7 linked regions of the Kluyveromyces lactis genome follow. Each later gene encodes a partner of the first gene's protein in a complex. Links are inferred from orthologs where the notes say so. Each region holds a gene or a part of one and is shown in the gene's direction. Other genes may lie near its edges.

Evidence for each region.
Region 2: SNU23 (region 1) and SNU13 share a complex: the UniProt entries of both Saccharomyces cerevisiae proteins name them as parts of the U4/U6-U5 tri-snRNP complex. The link is inferred for Kluyveromyces lactis from reciprocal best matches to the Saccharomyces cerevisiae genes SNU23 and SNU13.
Region 3: SNU23 (region 1) and SME1 share a complex: the UniProt entries of both Saccharomyces cerevisiae proteins name them as parts of the U4/U6-U5 tri-snRNP complex. The link is inferred for Kluyveromyces lactis from reciprocal best matches to the Saccharomyces cerevisiae genes SNU23 and SME1.
Region 4: SNU23 (region 1) and SNU66 share a complex: the UniProt entries of both Saccharomyces cerevisiae proteins name them as parts of the U4/U6-U5 tri-snRNP complex. The link is inferred for Kluyveromyces lactis from reciprocal best matches to the Saccharomyces cerevisiae genes SNU23 and SNU66.
Region 5: SNU23 (region 1) and PRP4 share a complex: the UniProt entries of both Saccharomyces cerevisiae proteins name them as parts of the U4/U6-U5 tri-snRNP complex. The link is inferred for Kluyveromyces lactis from reciprocal best matches to the Saccharomyces cerevisiae genes SNU23 and PRP4.
Region 6: SNU23 (region 1) and SMX2 share a complex: the UniProt entries of both Saccharomyces cerevisiae proteins name them as parts of the U4/U6-U5 tri-snRNP complex. The link is inferred for Kluyveromyces lactis from reciprocal best matches to the Saccharomyces cerevisiae genes SNU23 and SMX2.
Region 7: SNU23 (region 1) and SMX3 share a complex: the UniProt entries of both Saccharomyces cerevisiae proteins name them as parts of the U4/U6-U5 tri-snRNP complex. The link is inferred for Kluyveromyces lactis from reciprocal best matches to the Saccharomyces cerevisiae genes SNU23 and SMX3.

The regions. Positions count from the first base shown.
Region 1 is NC_006041.1:138,836-141,786, forward strand, and holds SNU23 (U4/U6-U5 snRNP complex subunit SNU23), read left to right. Parts: upstream 1-1,669; coding exon 1,670-2,230; downstream 2,231-2,951. Other genes in the region: proteasome regulatory particle lid subunit RPN6, read left to right, coding at 1-639; TPP1 (polynucleotide 3'-phosphatase), read right to left, coding at 733-1,440; AIM36 (Aim36p), read right to left, coding at 2,421-2,951. UniProt on the Saccharomyces cerevisiae protein: Participates in pre-mRNA splicing. Part of the U4/U5/U6 tri-snRNP complex, one of the building blocks of the spliceosome.
Region 2 is NC_006041.1:2,008,702-2,011,549, forward strand, and holds SNU13 (RNA binding protein SNU13), read left to right. Parts: upstream 1-1,460; coding exon 1,461-1,841; downstream 1,842-2,848. Other genes in the region: GEF1 (Gef1p), read right to left, coding at 1-856; putative E3 ubiquitin-protein ligase HUL4, read left to right, coding at 2,299-2,848. UniProt on the Saccharomyces cerevisiae protein: Common component of the spliceosome and rRNA processing machinery. In association with the spliceosomal U4/U6.U5 tri-snRNP particle, required for splicing of pre-mRNA.
Region 3 is NC_006037.1:204,036-206,962, reverse strand, and holds SME1 (mRNA splicing protein SME1), read left to right. Parts: upstream 1-1,668; coding exon 1,669-1,950; downstream 1,951-2,927. Other genes in the region: mRNA transport regulator MTR10, read right to left, coding at 1-1,396; mitochondrial 37S ribosomal protein PET123, read right to left, coding at 2,231-2,927. UniProt on the Saccharomyces cerevisiae protein: Involved in pre-mRNA splicing. Binds and is required for the stability of snRNA U1, U2, U4 and U5 which contain a highly conserved structural motif called the Sm binding site. Involved in cap modification.
Region 4 is NC_006042.1:798,892-802,925, reverse strand, and holds SNU66 (U4/U6-U5 snRNP complex subunit SNU66), read left to right. Parts: upstream 1-1,662; coding exon 1,663-3,336; downstream 3,337-4,034. Other genes in the region: RNA-processing protein NOP58, read left to right, coding at 1-1,303; SLY41 (Sly41p), read left to right, coding at 3,775-4,034. UniProt on the Saccharomyces cerevisiae protein: Component of the U4/U6.U5 tri-snRNP particle, one of the building blocks of the spliceosome. Required for pre-mRNA splicing.
Region 5 is NC_006041.1:426,776-430,533, forward strand, and holds PRP4 (U4/U6-U5 snRNP complex subunit PRP4), read left to right. Parts: upstream 1-1,502; coding exon 1,503-2,882; downstream 2,883-3,758. Other genes in the region: DPB2 (DNA polymerase epsilon noncatalytic subunit), read left to right, coding at 1-243; Rab geranylgeranyltransferase BET2, read right to left, coding at 321-1,295; HDA3 (Hda3p), read right to left, coding at 2,939-3,758. UniProt on the Saccharomyces cerevisiae protein: Involved in RNA splicing. Is required for the association of U4/U6 snRNP with U5 snRNP in an early step of spliceosome assembly.
Region 6 is NC_006040.1:658,681-661,307, forward strand, and holds SMX2 (mRNA splicing protein SMX2), read left to right. Parts: upstream 1-1,456; coding exon 1,457-1,480; intron 1,481-1,558; coding exon 1,559-1,756; downstream 1,757-2,627. Other genes in the region: MDJ1 (Mdj1p), read left to right, coding at 1-914; GNA1 (glucosamine 6-phosphate N-acetyltransferase), read right to left, coding at 1,881-2,447; EMA19 (Ema19p), read right to left, coding at 2,463-2,627. UniProt on the Saccharomyces cerevisiae protein: Plays a role in pre-mRNA splicing as a core component of the spliceosomal U1, U2, U4 and U5 small nuclear ribonucleoproteins (snRNPs), the building blocks of the spliceosome.
Region 7 is NC_006041.1:435,894-439,021, forward strand, and holds SMX3 (mRNA splicing protein SMX3), read left to right. Parts: upstream 1-1,825; coding exon 1,826-1,828; intron 1,829-1,939; coding exon 1,940-2,275; downstream 2,276-3,128. Other genes in the region: GPI-anchor transamidase subunit GAB1, read left to right, coding at 328-1,506. UniProt on the Saccharomyces cerevisiae protein: Plays a role in pre-mRNA splicing as a core component of the spliceosomal U1, U2, U4 and U5 small nuclear ribonucleoproteins (snRNPs), the building blocks of the spliceosome.

The DNA.
Region 1 (2,951 bases):
GGTATCTTACACTGTGAAGACAAAGATTATAAGACTGCTTTCTCATACTTTTATGAATCCTTTGAAGCCTTCCACAGCCAAACTGGCTCAAACACATTCGGAAAAGCTTGTCAAGTGCTAAAGTATATGCTTCTTTCAAAGATCATGCTTAATTTGATTGATGAAGTGAAAACTATCTTGAACGCCAAATATACTAAGGAGACCTACCAAAGTCGCGGAATTGACGCCATGAAGGCAGTCGCTGAGGCTTATAATAATAGATCCCTACTGGAGTTCAATACAGCAATGCAAAATTATAAGACAGAATTGATGGGCGATGAACTCATTAGATCACATTTCAATGCATTATACGACACCCTTTTGGAATCAAATCTTAGTAAGATCATCGAACCATTCGAATGTGTTGAAGTATCGCATATCTCAAAGATTATCGGGCTTGATGCTCAACAAGTAGAGGGCAAACTTTCACAAATGATTTTAGACAAAGTTTTCTTTGGTGTGCTTGACCAAGGAAACGGATGGCTTTATATTTATGAGACACCACAACAGGATGCCACTTATGATTCTTCGTTAGAATTGATCAATCAACTCAATGGAGTTGTAGAACAACTCTTTGAAAAAGCCGCTGTATTATACTAAAATTAAAAATTCATTATAATACGCTCATCCTTCAATCATTAAAGTAACTTAGTAAATAAATATATTTTACGTAGGTTTAAGATCATTCGAAATTCAAATAAAGTATTCCTCCGGTACCTTGAAAGGTACGCCCAATATTTTAGCAAACTCTTTGTCACTGTCACTAAAATCATTTGGTCTTCCTGCAGCATCCCCGCAGTAAAATAAAAGTTCAATTGAGTCCGATTGTTCGTCAGAATCTTTAAGAAATTCATCAAACAAACCACGATTGGGTTTTCTCACATTATCAAACATTTCAGGTGTTACCATTGTCCCGTTTATTCTTTTCTTCTGGCCAGAAATAATGTTCTTAACAACTTTATTTGCGTGAGCAGTGCTGGCGGCTTTGCTGCCACCAAAAAGGGAAGCTGGTTTTTTAGTAGCACAGTAAATCCAAATACGATCACACAGTTGAGAATCGTTTTCCGATATGTATTTCAATACTTTGCAAATTTTATCAACGTGTTTTACGCAGCTTTTAGAGGTTCTAGGTTCACTAACAACACCGCCTTGGTTGGAGAAGAAGACGATGTGAAAATCTGGTGTTTCCTTCATTTGTGCCGAAAGTTTAGCAAGTACCTCGGTTTTTCCATATTTCATGAATATCCAATCATCTGATGTCCTACTGAATCGGCCTTTAACTGGTTTGATCACGGTGTGATCAAGGTCAAATGAGATGACCTTCCTTACAGGGGCGGGATCTTTGGGAACCCATTTTATGATATGAGGGAGAATGGTAAGCTTATGAGTAGACTGTGACATGATAGCAAACTGTTACAATTAATATGACAATGGCTGACTCCTTTGAAATACTCTTGTACTTTACTAATTTGTAGTTCCATTTATGCCTTCTTTTGAGATGAAATGACTTAAAAGATCCAATATGGAAAACATCAACTAATTTAATGTTGACATGCATAATAAGTTCCATGACCTAGGAAGAGATCAGGTACTGAGTTCTGAGAAGGAGTACTATTCACTATAAATCAATATGTCATTTGGACGAAGAACATGGAATAGAGAAGAGTATGCTGCCAAGGCAGCAACTTCTCCAGGAGGGCAATCTCATCTTTCATCATTAGACCAGGAACAACTGAAAGCTTTAAAAGATAGATACACAGACTACAATGCTTTACTCGAGTATAATCTACGCGACATCAATAAAAAGACGTTATCAGCCAATCTAAGTCAGCAGAAAAAAGGTAAACAGTTCGGGTTTTACTGTGACATATGTGACTTAACCTTCAAAGACACACTACAATTCATTAACCATTTGAATCACAAATCACATGTTGTACGGTTTGAGAACATATTCAACGAGCCATTGATAAAAGATACGAGGGATAATGATCTAGTACCACTTAATGAGGTACGATCCCAGTTTCATAAATCTGTATCAGCATTTATCGGGGACACTGAATTGAGATCCAATAAACGCAAAGCGGCAAAGAGAGTCAAATGTGAGAAATCTGATGCAGAAATCAAATATCAACCACAGTCTGAAATCGGCAGGTTAATGGGTTTCACAGAATTCGGAAGTTCCAAGAAATAACATAAATATTGACGTTTTTATTCGAAGCATATCTACATCCCACTATTCACAACGTACTTCTGCTGAATGGCAATTAGATACTGATGATATTTACAAAGTTTAATCGAGATAAAGTTGGATGGATTGTTATAGGAAGTCCCCAGATATATGCAAAAGGGTGCCGATGGGGAAAATGGCATGAGGGGTCATTTTAGATGGTCTCAACTTTATCCACGGTTTTAAAGTATTTGGAAACCTGGCCGTCTCCTTCTGAATTTGGTACAATAACTTTGTCGATAACGGAAACCTCATTTTCGAACTTGATCGCATCTTTTATATTGTCTGGGAAGTCAAGTAGATAAACAGTGTCACCCTTTTGACATTTCTCCTTCATATATTTACCTATCAAGACGACAGAGAGACCTGTTGGTAGTTTTTCCATGTACGATTTCCCCTCCTTTTCATATAAATCATTTAAAAGCACATAATATTTATCGTCAGACTTATTTCTGAAGAATTCAATAGCTTCTGAAGGTTTGATAACCTTCGCATCTTCGGGGAATTTCAGTTTCTTGGTTGCAACTCCGGTTTGCACACATCTTAAATTTAAATCATCTTGCTCAAAGATCGAAACTCTTCTTCTTAGACCACTCATCACAGTGTCAAATTCAGAGAATGTGTACGTGTTTTTAGGCTTGTTCTGTTCCAAAGAGTCGACTGCCTTAACAAAAATAGCAGTCCC
Region 2 (2,848 bases), about 1.9 Mb from region 1:
GTGCAAATAAGACACCTCCAATAGGTGCACCAAAAGCTACTGCAACACCACCTGCCGTCGAAGCTGTCAAGTATTCGGATTGTTCTGGGAAGGCCATCTCCTTGCTCAAGAGCCAATTAGTAATTACATAACCACAACAGGTAGCATAGTGAACAGATGGTCCCTCTTTACCAACACTTAAATCAGAAGAAATGGCAAGCGGTAAAGCGACAGATTTTACTATAAGGGTCTTCAAATTCAAAAACTCCGGGGTATATTGGAAACCTGATACCCAGGATTTAATTTCTGAAATACCAGATCCAGTGGCAAACGGTGCAATGTGTAGGACCATCAGACAACTAATAGTTGCAAATGTGACCGATAAGAACATGAATAGCAAAAATGAAAAGATTGGATTGGTTGCTTCTACCCAAATACCTTTTTCGATACATTCGCTTTGGGATCTTTTAAAGAATATTTCTGCGGCATTGCCAGCCGAACTTATTATGGAACCATAACTCCTTTTACTGATCTCTTCTTTAGGACAGCAGAATGCCTTGTTTAACAACCAATTTCTAGCACAATGTCCAGATTTCCAGTTTACTAACAATTCAGTGAATATTTGTAAAAAACCAGCAATACCGCCAATGGAAAGCCCAATGGCAGTCAAAGTAATGAAACTGCTACCTCTTTTCCATATTAACCTGCGGTACTCATACCAACTCGAACGCGGTATATCAAATTCGTCATGCGATGTTCCCTTGGACAATTCACGCTTCTCTTCCTCAATCCAATCCACAGAAGTGAACTTATCGAAATTACCGACTTCTGGTATATTTCGCAGAGCCTGCTCCTCATTTACCTCTTGGTCAGTCATAGCTAGCTATTGCTCATCAATTGGGTCATACCTAAGTCAAGGGCAATACTATGAGTTTATTCATAAATGAGTTGATAAATTTACATATTGTAATACGTACATTTTTCAATACAAAGAAATATGCACCTTTGAAATTAGGTAAAGAACTGAGAGTGAAAGCAGCTCTTCCTGGGGAAGTATGAAGCATACGATGGGGAACAACAACTACAGACTGCGTGTTTTAGACCATAATAGAGTACTATAGCAATGGCGGAGAATGGCCAAATGATCACAATAGGAGGAATGTATATCGTTCTTCTGAATTAATATAGTGAAACAGCCGTACATTACACCAGTTTGTGATCCCATTTGTTTCTTTTTGCTCATCAGTCGAGGAATTCGAAAATTTTCAAAAATTGAAAAACTAAAGAAAATGATTTCAAGAGACTAACCTCATCTCATCTCGTTCCATCTCATCTCACTTTATGATAAAACTTTTTTTAGACTTGGACTTGATCCGATCTTATTTCTAGTCTTAAAACACCAGATTCAAGCGAGCTTTTCATTCTTGCAAGGAACTTGAACTGACCCAATCGGATACTTCACTTCATATTATAAAGAAATAATGTCTGCTCCAAACCCAAAGGCTTTCCCATTGGCTGATGCCACCTTGTCCCAACAAATCTTGGATGTTGTTCAACAAGCTTCCAACATGAGACAATTGAAGAAGGGTGCTAACGAAGCTACCAAGACTTTGAACCGTGGTATTTCCGAATTCATTATCATGGCTGCTGACTGTGAACCTATTGAAATCTTGTTGCACTTGCCATTGTTGTGTGAAGATAAGAACGTTCCATACGTCTTTGTTCCATCCAGAACTGCTTTGGGTAGAGCTTGTGGTGTTTCCAGACCAGTTATTGCTGCTTCTATTACCACTAACGATGCTTCTGCTATCAAAAGCCAAATCTATGCCGTTAAGGACAAGATTGAAACTTTGTTGATTTAAGAAGGATTTGCACATTTCGTGATTTCCTTTTCTTATTCTTTATATCAATCGTTTAAGGAGTTAACCGCTTTGTGGGGGGTTTGCATAGCAAAGAAAAGATTTACTGCACGTTCATTGATTCAAGTGATCGACAGGTAGATTTTTTTTTTACGACCTCTGTATATTAAACATATATATTACAATTAATACAACTTTTTGATACATTTGCATCCTTCTTAACAATGACATCAACATCTGATGGTTCTAGTTAGTGGTCAGTACATAGTTTTTTTTTGTCTGTTCAAATTAAGAAATGGTTACAGGCCTGTGTATTCCAGATGATATTGTCAGTTGGTAAAAAAAAGTAATAAATTTGACACAATCTTTTGTGCTTTCGACTATCCAACCCTAAATTTACAAGTTTGTTGAAATGAACTTAGAGGAAGAAGTCTGACTGTCCATCAGTAGCTGCTCGAATATGTTCAAGTTTAACCCATTACACATTGTTGGTAGGGAAAAGATAAAAATCCGCTATCAAAGTTCGGATAGGTTGGATTGTGAAGACCCGCCAAAATTTAGGGAAACTCGATGTAGATGTTGCGGAACCTTGTTACGACATCCTATAGACGCAGTTAAGTTCAAATGTACAATATGTGAGGTGACTGTTGTTTTGAGACAAACAGCAAATTCTAGGGATACTGAGGGCAAGATACTGCCGGACCTTGAACAGTTATCCAATATAGTTGGTCAATGTCTCGAATCGTATAAGAAAGATCAGACAGGAGATGAGACCCCCGCTAAAGAGCTTAACAGCTACTTCATTCCTGTGGAAAAATACATTGTTCAAAAATTCGGTACAGCGGAAGCTTTGAATCAATTATTCAAACCAACTGTTAAAGATCAAATTATAAACTACGAAAAAGCAGTGACATTTTATAATTTGATAGGCTCATTGCCTACCAAAAGACCCATTTATCTCATTTTACGTGTCTTTAATGAGGTTTTGAAAAGGCCAAAGATCCTAATGG
Region 3 (2,927 bases), on another chromosome or scaffold:
TGAAAAGTTGGGGTAGCACAACGTTTTCAGTATGAGAAATTTCATGAGCCATTGTACGAACAGCAAACAAGGCAGCCTCTAGTGGTTGCCAGACCGTGTTAGGATCTTCTTTCTGAAGATATTGGTTGATAAGATTATATGGTTGCTGCAATGCAACGGTTGAACCTAAGACAGCAGCACAAGACTTAAGTACATCACCAATGTTATACCTAAAATCTTTAAATTTATCTTCATCTTCCTTATTTTCAAAAACAGTTTCCGGATAATGCAAATGTGTAATCAAACCATTCGTTAAATTAATAAATACATCCTGATATTCTTTTCTTTGTTGAGCGTAACGTTGTAAAACTAACATTTGCCTCAAATTAAACCAAAATGGGAAAGTATACGAAACGATATCGAGGTCAGTGTTCTTGCAAGTTAATACCAAGATGACTTCAACCAATGGTTTGAATAAGGCAGGATTCTTTGCAAGAAAAACACACCACGCTTCGCCAGCTTCAACGAATAAACGTGTGAGTGGATCCATAATCTCTTCGTATTCTTCCCAGTCAGAAATGGTTGTGATTGGCAATAGCTTTTGTTGCAAAGCTAAAAGTTGCTCGTAAAGCGCATGTATGATTGTATCGTTGGCTGCGTCTCTCGTTTCTCTTAATAACACACATAAGCATTCTACTGCAGCTTCAAAAGAATCAGAATCAGTATCATATGAAGTATGCAAGACTTGGAACACGGTGTTTATCAATGGAGTCACTTGTAATACCTGTTCTATTGGAAATTCATAACACCACGATCCAAAGCACGAAATGATTTTAGAAGCAGATATGCCTTCAGTTCCGACTCTATCCAAACATGAAATCAAAAATTTCAATACGTCTTCTCCAATGTTATCTATAAGTTCGTGTGTTCTACACTCAAATTCATCTTGGGATAGAGGAGTGGATTTGATATCCAATGTTTCCTCTGGGAGAATCTTCAAAAACAGTAGTAACTTTCCCGGAAGACCATTTAGAGTATTAATAATTTCAACTAGCGGATTCCTCCAATCAAGATACTGAATGGTAAATCGGGCTAGTGCCACGTTCAACTGTGTTACTATGATCTTCTCTTCATACATAGCGATGAACTCAAAGAGCTTTCCCTTGAAACTCTCTAATTCGGTATTGACCTGGTTTAGATCATAGGTGACTTTGTTCACTAGAGTTTGACAAGCAAACATTTGCAACTGTAAGTTGTCTGCTTCATGCTTGCTTAATACTTCGAAGCAGATTTGCCATGCTTCTATGCTCTTTTGAAATTGCTCCAAAAATTGTAAAGCTTGTATCTTCTTCTCCTGTTCAGAAACACTTTGAGTACAAATCAATGCACTCTTGATATCTGGGATTTGATACAACATCAATATTGATCAATCACGTCGTTCTTGCTCAACGGTATCTGCTGTGGCAGTTTTTATGAGTTCCTTTTATAGTGCATAAGTAAGATCAAATGTTTTGGTTGATTCAATATATAAAATTTTTTTAATATGTTAACAATAATCCTATTAAACTAATATCAAACGAATTCAACATGGCACTAGTGACTGACATTAATAAAGGATAACTGCGATCTGATTATAGTTACACTAACATCGACCTTCAATACACCGAAAGATTCTAGAAAAAGTCTAAAATGTCCGGCTCTAAAGTAGGAGCTCCTATGGTACCTCCAATCAATTGCATATACAACTACCTTCATCATCAGACAACAGTAACGTTTTGGTTATACGAACAAGTACAGACACGTATAAGAGGCAAGATCAGAGGCTTTGATGAGTTCATGAATGTGGTAATAGATGACGCTTTCGAAATAGCTGTAGATCCGAAAAGTGGTAAAGAGAGCGATGATAAAGCAGTGTTTCTTGGGAGAATTATGTTGAAAGGTGATAATATAACACTTGTTGTGGCAAATTGATAATGCCTACTCAGAAAATGATAATAGGATGAAAGAAAGATGCTTAGAGTGTAGAAGCATTGATCGGACTCTGTCGTGTAATTATATAAGCCTGTATATTATAACGGAAAAATGAAAGGCACTGAAATTTCGATAACGGCGACAAGCACTATCAAGGCTAATAAAGATATATTGTTCGTAATCTTATGGATCTATTTACAATGTGTTGCTCAGATTGGGGAGAATACCTTAAGTTCATATGGTTTCTTTTGTGTCAGTGATATTATCTAAAAGATATATCTCAAAGGACAGAGTCTTTACGTTCTTCCGCTTGTTTAGTTAATTCATCCAATTTGGTATTAATTTCCTGGTTAAATTGTTCCATCTCACCAGATAAAAATTCCTTCACAATTGGCAAACCTACGTATTTGCCGTTGCCCAAAGTACCAAATAATGCATCCGAAATTTCACCTTCGTTTCTTGCTGTTTGTTGAGAAGTCGACAAAGACAACTTATTTCTTAATACATCTTGGTTGTCCGAGGCGAATGCCTTTTCTACACTGGCCACCAGTTGTTCTTCTGTCACAATGAAATGGTCTGCTGCATGACAAAGCTGTACCAAGTTGGCAAGTTTGCGTTCTTTAGCCTTGAATTCAATCAATTCCTTGTTGTGCTTTCTCTTCAAATCCAGAATTTCTTGCTCTTCGGCAGTCCTTTGTCTCATAAGCGGTTGATTCATAATGCCCTCCAATGTTGGAATGGTCAAGTTACTCGAACGTTCTTTGTTAAGCTCTTTCAATTCGGCTTCTCTCTGTTCTTGTAGTACCCTTTCTTTCTTCTTCAATAGCTCTTCCTGCTTTAATAATCTTTGTTCTTCGTTACGTAAAGACTCACTCAAATATTTTCTACGCAACTCTGCTTGATTCTGCTTCAATAACTGCTGTTCACTAGCAGCCGTAGTATTTTCACTCTTAGGTTTCACCGTGTTATAGATAACT
Region 4 (4,034 bases), on another chromosome or scaffold:
ATGCAAGACCGACAAAAAGGCCACCTTAGTTGTTTCTGAAACTAAATTGGCAAACGCTATCAACAAGTTGGGTTTGAACTTCAACGTTGTCTCTGATGCCGTCACCTTAGATATTTACCGTGCAGTCAAGGAGTACTTGCCAGAACTTTTGCCAGGTTTGAACGATCAAGATCTTTCCAAGATGTCATTGGGTTTGGCTCACTCCATCGGTCGTCACAAATTGAAGTTCTCTGCTGATAAAGTTGATGTTATGATCATCCAAGCTATTGCTTTGCTAGACGATCTAGATAAAGAATTAAACACTTACGCTATGAGATGTAAGGAATGGTACGGTTGGCATTTCCCAGAATTGGCCAAGATTGTTACTGATTCTGTTGCTTACGCCAGAATAATCTTGACCATGGGTATTAGAGTTAATGCTGCTGAAACTGACATGTCTGAAATTTTGCCTGAAGAAATTGAAGAGAGAGTCAAGACCGCTGCCGAAGTCTCCATGGGTACTGAAATTACCCCAGTTGATTTGATTAATATCAAGTGTTTAGCCGAACAAATTGTTGAATTTGCTGCCTACAGAGAACAACTTTCTAACTATTTGTCTTCAAGAATGAAGGCTATTGCTCCAAATTTGACTCAATTAGTTGGTGAATTGGTTGGTGCTAGATTGATCGCACACTCTGGTTCTTTAATCTCTTTGGCCAAGTCTCCAGCTTCCACCATCCAAATCTTGGGTGCTGAAAAGGCTCTTTTCAGAGCATTGAAAACTAAGCATGACACTCCTAAATATGGTCTATTGTACCACGCTTCCTTGGTTGGCCAAGCATCTGGTAAGAACAAGGGTAAGATTGCCAGAGTTTTGGCTGCTAAGGCTGCCGTTTCTTTGCGTTACGATGCTTTGGCTGAAGATAGAGACGATTCTGGTGACATCGGTTTGGAATCCAGAGCTAAGGTAGAATCAAGATTGTCCCAATTAGAAGGCAGAGACTTGAGAACCACACCAAAGGTCGTCCGTGAGCACAAGAAGACTGAAATCACAGAGGCTAGAGCATACAACGCAGATGCTGACACCGTGTCTTCAGCTGCTGCTCCTGCTGACTCTGATGATGAATCCGAGGACGAGGAAGAAACCAAGGAAGAAAAGAAATCTAAGAAGGATAAGAAGGATAAGAAGAGAAAGAGAGACGATGATGAAGAGTCTAAGGAATCTAAGAAGTCTAAGAAGGAGAAGAAAGACAAGAAGGAAAAGAAGGAAAAGAAGGAAAAGAAAGAAAAAAAGGATAAGAAATCTAAGAAGGAAAAGAAATAGATATAGTATTCACATTAAAACCCCACTCTTTTGCATTAAATCTCTAATAACCTCGTATAAATCTGTTCCATTACATACGAACATACTATGTGTGTACCTCTGTAAATTAGTCTGTATCAAATTCAAACAAAATATAATAATTGAATTATTGTCATACGCTGTACTCTTCTTCTCATTGTCATCGTCAATGGCTTTGATAGTTACATCAAAATATTCACTGATGAAAATGTTGAAATATACAATTCTTAAATTCGGACAAGTTGGCGATGAGATGAGGCAGAAAGAAAGCAACAGGATTTGATAATAAGGATATTCGACCACAATACGAATTCTACGAGGCATACAGTTACTTCAAAGCCATGGGTAAGATTACTTCTATATCTTTGGAAGAAACAAATCGAATTAGGGCAAGTTTAGGTTTGAAGACTATACCTAGGCCCACTGAGACGTCAACAGAATCAAAAGAAGGTGCATCTGATACAAATAGGAAAGTACGAAGATCTAGTCAGCTAAGTTCACGTCCCTCCGAAAAGGATTGTGCTTCTGGAAAAATAAATGGAAGCGCTCAAGATCGTGATAAAAAGATTGGTCAACTAAAACAAAGAATATATGAATCAAAGGAAGCAGTGGACCAAAGAGCGACTACTGATAAAGAATCTATTGATGACTGGCTTTCCAAAATTGGGAAACCTATCACTCACAAAGAATCTTCTGCTGAAAATGCTACTGTACATGATGACATTACGCATCACCATATCCCAGTATCAGATGAACTGAAATCTATTGCTGAACAGAAAGCAGTCATTTTTACATTGAAAGAAACTTCAGTGACAAACGACGAAGAGAATATTGATGACGAAAACATATTAGAGAATGAGAAGCTAGTTCATGATAAACAGGATGCCAAAAATCTTAAGCTACGGCAATTGAATAAAGATAGAAAACTAAACAAAATCTCCATCTTTGATTACAGCGATGAGGCTAATGATACAAACTCAAGATCTGACATACCATTACACGACTCCTTAGTAAATGATAAACCATTACCTGTTCACCAGTCTCTCCCTAAGAGGGTCAAAATTGAAAGTGACTCAGATGATGAGCAACCATATCAAGATTACGCACCAGTCAAGATTAAAAGGCGAAAGAAGAAATCAAATCAAAACCAGAAACCGAGAAGAATAGACACAGCGAGAATGGTGAAAGTTGATCTTTTGGAAGATGATGAGGATTTCTCAGACCGGCCAATTCAGGCAGTTGTCAAAGTCAAACAGAAACGCAGTAATGAGGAAATAACAGGGATAAAGAATTCATTGGAGTTGGAAAAACTCGAAGGACAGCAAAGAAGCAAAGGAATTCATATGTTGAACAATAGTGATAAAGGAATTCTTCTGGATGAAACCGATGAATTTTTGGATTCTTTGAAGGCGAACGTTCTTGACAGAGAACCTGTTAATGATGATTTGCCCATAAAAATCGATTTGAAACCAGTGCAAAAAGATAAAACGGGAACTATTCCAGCAACATTAGTCACCGATAACGATATCACGCAACCTGATTTCTCAGGAGGTGTGGCAGGAATGTTGAACTTCTTGAAGGAACGAAATATAATTAAGCAAGACGATCGCCCCAATATGGGAAGCGACAGTAAAAAACACGGAACGGATGTCAGGAAAGAGTTTGAGATCTTAAACGGCATTGTGAATTCCCTTAAGACTGTTGACGAAAAGTTGGACTCCAATGATGTAAACTTTTCTGAGGACGAATTGCGTAAGATTAAAGCTGCGCAAGCGGAAGAAATGGCATTGAAAATTCAACGTATACAAGAGGAAAAACTAAGAGACTACAACCCAACGGTCGAACTCGCATATCAGGATTCCGAGGGTAATGAGTTGAAAACTAAAGAGGCCTATAAACAACTTTCTCAAGCATGGCATGGGACAAAATCCAGTAAGAAGACTTTGGAAAGACAACGGAAGAAAATGGCGGACAGAAAGAAACAATTGGAAAGAGACTCATACTTGGGACTATAGAACCTTACATATCACACTTATTCAAAGTAATTAGAGTTAAAACCTATGGCATTTTGAATTGACGCTTCCTAGAAAATTGTCTTGCTCTGCCCACAGCAATCACGAGCTAGCACCATTCTGCAGAGAACCCTTTGTGCTTGGCTTTCCACGTGACTGCCAAAAAACGTTAACAACGTCAGCAAGCAAAAACATCACATCGGTCAGAAAGAAAGAAAAAAGACTGGAAATATATAATATAATAACATGGCATCAATTTTTGGCGACTTGTAATAGAAAGAGATACTTCTTACATAGTGACAGTCGGCTCTAAAATCGCTGCTCGCTCCATAAAGTAACAGTTCTTTTCGATCTATTCTATCGTTTGCTAAATTATTCTCATTCAACTTCGTTCCACTCGCTTTATTGATTTTAAGAAGGTGTGAATAAAATAAGCGAAAAATGATTGTAACTTCCAAGAGCGTCACTTCGAAGCGCCGTCCTTCGATCAATAAAACATTTTCAGATGTTAACTTTGTCAACCAGGTACAAATACCGTTCCAGGAAAATTACAGGTCTCATAAACATTCAACTTCGTTCAATGAGGTCAGAAGACTGCAAAATCAGACGTGGAAAGAGCAATTTGTCAATCTATTTCCCAAGGATGTACAAGAGTATTTACCGGAAGTGAATGTTCACATATCTATTTTATGCCTTATATG
Region 5 (3,758 bases), about 290 kb from region 1:
CAACATCTATCTCCGTTTTCATCAAGAATTCGACCAACTGTTTGGGATCTTGATTTCACATTGCAGCTATCACCGCTTCCATCGAGTATCATGCTGTGTGACACTAGCGCACCAGCTTTCGATGTAACGTACAACGGATGCAAAACGATCAACCCCGGTAGATTTATTCACAAAAGAGCTGCCAAATATATAGAATTCTTCCCTGCTTCTAAGGTTCTAGTAGAGGAAGAGCTACCATTTTAATTTATCAATATTAAACTACTTGTGGACCTACTTTTTGCGGTCGTTAGCATTCATAATTTATTTAAGTTTCTAAGACACTAATCTGAGTACTTGCGTTGGAAATATTTCGTCACCGTATATGGCATACAGTATACTGGATCAATATCTCTTAATCCTGGATACTTCATTATACTTAATCCTCCTAGACCAAAAACCGTGTGAAATACGTCGACTTCGTTGTCTGGTCTGTCACTAATCCCTCCATTTTTGGGATCCTGACAATGCAAAATGAACTCCGTTAGCTTGGGAAAATCAATCCAATCAGCTTTTTGGAGTATTGAAAGTGTTGATAATACCCACCAGCTATAGCATACATCGGGCAGTTTGCTTGGCCTACCATTTAAGCCCCCCTCTGGAACTTGTCTTTCTGAGAGCCAAACAGCAATATTCTCCTGCTGAGCTGGAGTTAAAGAGTCTAATTTTCCGACGATTGCTAAAGCAGCAATGCAAGTAAATGCCTGAGCAGCATGAGATTCTGCTTCAGGATTTAAGCCAAATCCGCCATCGAAATTGTAACATCTAAGGATATACGAAACTGCTGGTTCTACAACTTCTTTCGTCAATTTGTGTAAAATGGACAAACAGCTCAATGCAGTATATACGAAACGTGTGTCGACTTCACCAAAACTATCACCTTGGAATGAGCCGTCTGCTTTTTGATTGGATAGGATAAATTTTTCCAATTGTTCTTGCTTCTCTGAACCCAAGCGCTCTAAAGCGTTGTAAGTAGCCAAAATCTGAAGCCCTGAAAGAGTCGTTAATAGATGACCATCATGTCTTGGAAACGCAGCAAACCCACCAGTTTTATGATCCCAACAGCTTAGGACAAACTGTATTACATCCTCCTTATTGAATGTTTCGATAGAATCAAGGAGATAGAGGGCTGTCAATCCCCAGTATACCCCATTCAACCTTAGATGTTCTGAGAGCCAGTACTCTAGATCATCTTTCTTAGTATCTAAAGACGCAATATAATCAATGTGTTTATCTCTTAACAACTGCTGTTCACTCATGATCGTTCGATCGACGCCTAGCTTCAGACCCTTTTTACTCGATGGAGTACCTCACTTGTTTTCCAACTTTTGAACTATTCATATTCAGGAATAACGATAAAGTTCATTTTATGAATATGCTTTTAAAGAAGTGAGATGATAAAGAGATGAAATCAAAAAAGTGGCACCGGTAACAACTCACCTTTGGACTATCTGCAGTAACTTCTAATGGTAGAATTAGATGATTTGCAGGTAGATGTTGACTACAAAAACCAGGATGGGCAATCAGTCGGAGATGCTCTGAAAAGATTGGAATTCCAAAGGCAAGAAAGGCTCAAAATTGTGCCTACTCTAGATACAGACGTTAGACGAGCACTAGAGCTAGTGGGAGAGCCCGTTGATATCGCTGGCGAAGATAATTATTCTCGCAGAGATCGACTTTCTGATCTTATTCTTAGCGATCCAAAAGCCAGAGAACGAGTTACAAGGTTAGTAGAGTCAACTTCCAAAGACCAGACGAAAATCGATACTGAAAGAAGTAAAGTAGATGATGAAGACGAGGAGTTCTACACTCCAGCATCACAGCAGTTGATAGAAATGAGGAAGTTTCTTATAATATACTCTATGCAACGCTCTAAGCTGAGGCTTGAGGAGGAGAGACGAAGACTTGTCAGCCAAAATGTGAAAAACGTCATAAGTAAGCGAAGGGACCTGGAAAGTAAATTGAAACAGTTCTCTTTGAAGGGAATGCAGGTGATAGATGAGAAACCTATTTCTGAAATTAATACTTCTCCTGGTGGAGACCTGATGGCTTGTGGCAGTTGGTCCGGAAATTTGTCTCTGGTCGATAATTCGTTGTCCAAAATCTACTGCAATAGATCTTTATCTGGCACAAAGATTAGTGGATTGGATTGGAGCGTGGACTCTAAAAACATTTTTGTCTGTACCCATGATGGACGCATTGTAATATATGATAGTGGTGATGAAACCACAGTTAAGATCTTGTATAAAAATGATGCCAGGTTTGCCCAAGTACGATGCCATCCATGTAATAGTTTTATTGGAAGTACGTCTTTTGACAAAACATGGATCCTGATAGATACTGTGAAACAAGCCCCTATTTTGATTCAGGAAGGTCATTCTGCGGAGGTTTTCTCACTATCTTTTCACAATGATGGCTCATTGGTGAGTACAGCTGGTTTGGATGCAATTGCATTAATATGGGACATACGGTCCGGTAAAAATATCATGTCATTACAGGGACACTCAAAACCTATTTATTCCGTTGACTGGTCCCAAAATGGATATCAGCTTGCGTCTGGTAGTGGTGACGGGACTATAAAGGTTTGGGATATTAGGAAAAAGGGAAATGTGGAAACGATCTTAGCTCACAATAGCATTGTTTCACAAGTCAAATTCAATAAGCAAAACGGAGGATATTTAGTGTCGAGTGGATATGACAAGAAAGTAAATATCTTCAATGATGGGAACTGGATAAAGGAACGAAGCCTTGAAGGGCATCTTGATAAGGTTATGTCAATTGATATTGTAGGTCCTGATATATATAGCGCGGGTTGGGACCGCTCAGTTAACAAATGGGGAGTCTAATTAATTCTACGCAAATTTGTAAAAACGTTAATCATTATGGATGTTAAAATTACGTATCATTTCTTCGATCGGCCATTAGTCGCCTGTCTTCCTCTGCTGGGTTGAATTTTCGATAGTCTATCAGTTATATATCCAAGTTTAGAATGAAGCCCTCCAAGATTTTGCCCTTCCTGTTGTAGTTGTGATTTCAAGAGATCTATTCTCTGTTCAGCACTGGCAACCTTCTTTTTATTTTCGGCTACACTGTCCTCTATTTTCGTTTTCAAGAGCTTGATTTCTTCTCTTAATTTATCTTGTTCTTTGTTGCTTTCATCAACAGATTGAGCGGCTCTTTCTATCTCCTTTTGCATGTATGTTCTCTCAGAAGATTTAGACTCCGAATTTCGTTTTTCTCTCTCGCGGGCATCTTGCAAGTTTGAAATTTCTTCTAGTAAACCCTTCAAAACCTTATGTGGTTCGCTTTTAGACCCTAATTTTGTCATTAAATCATTAATTTCTGAATCTATGAATTCAATCTGTTTGTGCTTCTTTTCTGATTCCTCAAGGAAATCTTTTACCTTAACGTCATCATCTTTTAGCTTCTTTTCGGATTCTTCAAGCTTTTCCTTAATATCATTATAATCCTTATTGACCTTGTTGAAATGATGATTTTGAATAGATTCCATTCTTTCAAAATCATCTAATTCCAACTTTTGTCTCTGATTCATAGCGTAGATATTTTCAATGGACTGGATCATTTTATGAGTCAGGATATCAGTGGCTAAATGATAATCAATTTCGCCGTTTTGCCGGCCAGATGCTGATACCCATGTAAGAACTGCCATATCTTGTTTTAATGGATTGGTGGAATAGTCGTTTTTAACTCTTTTAGATTTA
Region 6 (2,627 bases), on another chromosome or scaffold:
AAGGTGAGAATGTCACTGTACCATTCCAAGTATCCTTCAAAGATGCCGTCTTCGGTGTGAAGAATGTCAAATTGAATTACCAATGCTACGATCCGTGTTCGTCATGTGATGGAAGTGGGTTGAAAGCTGGACATTCGAGAAGTGTTTGTCCTACATGTCATGGTACAGGTACTCAGGTACATGTAAGAGCAGGTTTCCAAATGGCCTCTACTTGTCAAACATGTGATGGTGAGGGTTCAACTATTAAGGACAGCGATAAATGTGGTACCTGTCATAGCCACGGTTTCAAATTGAATTCAAATAAAACTATCACCGTAGACTTACCTCACGGACTTCAGGACGGTGACACAATTAGAGTACCTAACCAAGGTAGTTACCCCGGTATGGCTATCGATCCGTCCATGAAATCTGAATTGCATTTAACCAGAGGCGATTTGTTGATTCGTGTCAGAGTCAGGAAAGACACAAGATTCCAAGTTTCAAATAATTACGACATCATTTACACTCAGGAAATCCCAATTACAACGGCAGCACTAGGTGGCGTCATTGAAGTACCCACCGTAGAGGAAGAAAAGATCAGATTGAAGGTCAGCTCTGGTACTCAACACGATCAAGTCATCAGAATTCCAAATAAGGGTGTCCCTCGTGGAGCTAGAGGTGACAGGGGTGACATGCTTGTCAAGTTCAAGATTGTTATCAAAAAACCAAAGGATGAAACAGAACGTTATCTATGGGAGACCTTGGCCCACTTGACCAATGATACCACTGCAAGAAGGACCATTACTCCCTCTGGATCGTCGGCTAAGGACAACTCTTCCTCTGCTGATAAAGACACAGTTGAAAACAATGAAGGAACCATCAAGAAATTGGAAAATTTCTTGTCTAACACTTTAAAGAAGATCAGAGGGGAATGAAATCCTTAAATCGCATATATGCTCTCCCGTCATACATTCCACCTTCATTCTTTCATAATTCTTTGATTGGATGAACTAATTACGACATTGGCATTCTCATTATTCATGTACCACTTACAGCAGTCATAGCCAGTAATTGCATATACTGCACATTATTTTATAAAACCCTTTAACATCATGTAAATACCAATTTCCCTATATATATATATAATTGCACTTAGCGCATAATACTTATCGTTTTGATATTCTCTTACTAGTTATCCCTACTTACCATATTTAGCTCGGGATTGAAATTCATGCCAATGACAACGAATGTTTTCAGTAAGGGTCGATATGCTTTAGTAACTTATTCTGACCATCGTTGTCTTCTTAACATTGTGACATTGAAAATTACTTTTGAATGGAAAAAGCATAATTATGTACAAAATTCATCAATTGAAATATACTGAAGATAAATTTCGAAGGACTTTTGCCAAGAGTTAAGAGACTATATCTACGACTTATCACTTCCGTACGACCCATTATAAACCATCCAATATTCCATGACATCTCCAGATTTGAGAAAAGTATGTTTACCCCTGTTTTCCAGGAAAAATCTTATCAGAATTTAAATTACTAACTATAATATGATTCGTTGCAAACAGTACATGGACAAGAAACTCATTCTACAGCTTAACGGCAATAGGAAAATTATTGGAATATTACGAGGATATGATGCATTTTTGAACTTAGTACTGGATAATCCAATACAGATTTTCGAAGAAGGAGAGGTCCAAATGGGACCCCAGACTGTTGTTAGAGGTAACTCCATTGTATCGATAGAACCTCTTGACAGTTTGTAAGAGCAGAAGGGAGACAAATACAACTCAATGTGTCGGAACACTTTACTTAGTGACATTTACGTACAATGAATTATGCTAGTAGAAAGGAAGGATAGATATGATAGAGCGCACACTGGTTACAACATCATTTGTCGAATCTGATTTGCATTTCGACACCAGCTTTTTTCAATCCACATTTCTCATAGAATCCAACATTACTTTCATCACAATCAAGAATAACTTTATAGCATCCATACTCGTTAGCTAATTTGTATAAATACTGAATTAATATCAATCCCAATTTCTTCCCCTGTTGATCTTTTCTCACTGCAATGTCTTCAATATGACCAACAAGCCCACATTCGTGAATAACTTTTTTCTCGACTAGCACGTTTCCTGTGGCGACAACTTCCCCATTTGTGTCAACGATCACAGTGCTATTGTACATAGGTATATCTCCTATCGTGACTGAATCCCAATGGTCTATTAGTGAATGGAATTGATCTTGGCTCACATCACCAACCATCGTTAGCACTTTCAGCACAGATGTAACCCCAGAAAAATCATCTTTCTTGGTTCTTCTAATTGTGTATCCTTCTGGTAATGACATGGTAAGAATTCCAATTAACGGCAGGATGATGGTAGAAATGAATGGTAATATCAATTGTTGATGTAACAAAGAGACTATAAAGGTTCTTTTATCATGGTTCATATTTAATCATTGTGCCTATACAAAGAATAATGCTGGAATTAGAACATAAGGAACGTAGACCATCGTTAGCGCCAGTTTGTCCGGGTTACTCAATGACACGTGATCGGTATTCATCGTGGCTGGATAGTACCCATAGGCCCAAACGTACCATATACAAAAACTAGTGGTGGTGATGACATT
Region 7 (3,128 bases), about 300 kb from region 1:
TGTGACTAAACCTGACATTCGACTGCAGGTTGCAAAATTCTGCTGTTTTAGAAGCGAGTATCTTAATCACGTGATATGTAAACACGTATTAGAGTAAACTGTTCACGTGTCCGGGTAATGTTTGTGTGGATCACTTTTTGTATTACCATTGATTTAACTGATGTACTTCATTTCAATACAATAAGCTTTCAAATATGCATAATTTGTACTGCAATTACGAAGCTCGGTTCACGATTGGTTTGTTTTTTTGCATTGAACGGTGATACGATTCTGAGAGGATACGAAGTGACCCTACTGTGTTGACTTGTTGTGTCGCTTGAGGTGATTATGGTTTCGTCCGAATGGCAGGTTGTATGGGCTTGTTTTGCGTCCAGATTGGCTGTTTCGTACCTGTTCCCTTCTTTGCAGCAGCAATTGGACAGAACCGTTGAGTTTTCTACTCCGGTTACAAGCTATAGATCTCTGCAAGAAGGTGCGTATCTTTTACTGCATAATTTGCCCATTTATGATGGTGGTGTTGTGCATCATGTGCCTCTGCTGGTAGCTTTAATGGCATTCGTTCAACAAGCGGAGTTTCTAATGCCCGTTTTGTTTGCGGCCATGGACACTCTAATAGCGTATCAATTGATGCAAATAGCTAAGATATATCAACGCCAATTGCAAATTCCTAGTTATATTCCAGGTGTGGTTTATGCAGTGAACCCTTTGGTACTTTTATCATGTGTCTCACAATCGACATGTCTATTTGTGAACCTTTCCATTTCTACTTCTTTACTATTTGCGTTATCTAGACAGTTCTCACTGTCAGCCATATGCATTGCGTTGGCTGGTTATTTATCACCTTACGCTTATCTACTGTTGATCCCATTGGCAGGAATCTGTGGATCAAATTCTTTCGGCCTTGTTGTCAAGTGTACATTGGTATCGATTGTTTTGCAGTTGATCAGTTTCAAGTTAAATAACGATAACTGGAACTATTTGACTTCAACATACTGGATATTGATTACTTTCAGTAAGATAAGGCCAAATCTAGGGTTGTGGTGGTATTTCTTTATTGAAATGTTCGAATTTTTCATCCCATTTTTCAAATCTGTGTTCAACATATTTGTTGTTTCATTTATCCCACCTTTCACTATTAGATTCAATCAGCAATCGTTTTACGCATTTGTTCTATGTCTAGGTTGGATTACGCTCACCAAATCATACCCAACGTTAGGTGACGGAGGGTTTTTCTTAAGTTTTATCCCATTTTTCAAACCGATCTTTGGGTATCTAAGATATCCAGTCATATCAACCCTTTTATTCATTCATGCCATCATTTTGTCACCAATCTTCTACTACCTATGGATTGGATTAGGCTCCGGTAATAGTAACTTTTTCTATGCCATTTCTTTGGTTTATGCGTTAGCCATCTCGTCAGTGATTGTGGATTTGACGTGGGCCATGTTAAGAATTGAATACGATTCAGGTAAACCAAACCTTTCATTAAAACTGACTCAAATTTGAATGAACCCTGTTCCTTCTGTTGGAAGAAACATATCGTATTGTCATTATTTAATATATATCTAAGTATGACTTACCCAGTGCATGGCATAAAAACTTTTGAAAACTGTCCGGACTACTTTGGTTTGTTTTATTTGTTCCCTTGGTAGGGCATCTAATATTTCCATGCCATATTGAAAAACATGAAAATACAGTATTGCAAAAAGATAGACAACGAAAACATTACGTAGCAACCAACAGACGTAATAAAACCTTTAACAGATTCTCGAATTATATCGTGTAATCGATACATATCAGAACACCCGCGCATTAACGTATTGAAATGGTAAGTTTTCTTGTTCCATACTTTTTTGGTCGCAGCTAGGACGATTATGTCCATCTGCGATCGATGAATCCACAGATTTTGTCACCTTACTAACCAATTTAAACGTTGCAGGATCCAGAGGAATTCAAACCAATTAACCCTAAACCCTTTTTACATCAATTGATAGACAAAGATGTGCTGGTGACACTCAAATTCAATAAAATACAATATAAAGGAAGACTTGTATCGGTAGATACATATTTCAATCTACAACTAACAGATGCGGAAGAGATCATAAATGATGTCTCAAGTGGGAAAGTTGGGGACATTTTCATCAGATGTAATAACGTGCTATACGTAGGAGAGGATGTGAACAAGCAAAGTGATCAACCCCCTACGCCGACTGGAACAACAGAGAAATCTGACGATAAAGAGGAAAATGGAGAACTCGCAGAAGAAGCGAATTAATATAGCACTAGTCTGAATATTATTGAAGCAAACAAGGAAACATCGGAATAATTATGGATTCACTGTATAGCTTTCCTCAGTTGTAATAGAATTAGGGAACTGCTTATCTTAATAAAGGGAATATTAGTATTAGTATAATTAATGATAGTATAGTTTATGTAGGTTTTACAATTCAAAGGCTCATTCTAAAAAAATCTCTAGAGATTAATACCTTATGTTTTTCATTCCAAGAAGGTCTCGTTCACGGTGTAACAGCTGTTCCAGCCACCATGGATTTCTTATTGCTTACTAGTTTTCCAGTTGAGTTGGGGTAGTGATTTCCAAAAAAAATGCAAAAATGAAACGGACAGGAATTGAACCTGCAACCCTTCGATTGCAATTTTGTTTCCATAGAAATTTCCAGGATTTAACTGGAGTCGAAAGCTCTACCATTGAGCCACCGCTTCATTCTTAAGGTTTTTATCTATAACATCTTCTATATGAAATGGAGTGGCAGCATTCCTTATTTATAATAGTCACTTTAGGCCAGAGTATATTGCTAAGGTGAACCTGGAGCATTTCAACTGAATTAGGTGTCGTCGGTACCAGTGTTTTTTAACAGAATTGAATTACGCTTCCCAGGATAATATAATTTTAGTTTCTTGTATGCAATGATCAGTATAAAATGCACATATTATTTAAGATTCGATGACGACTGCCAGCAAGTTGGCCTCGTCACTGCAATAAAATATAATCATAAAGTAATAGCGAAATGAGGATTACCCTTTATATCACAATATATGTGCCCGTCTTGCGGTAAAACCGATATCTTTGGCTCAAAGTTAAATACTTTTGTGAGATTCTATTACCGAAT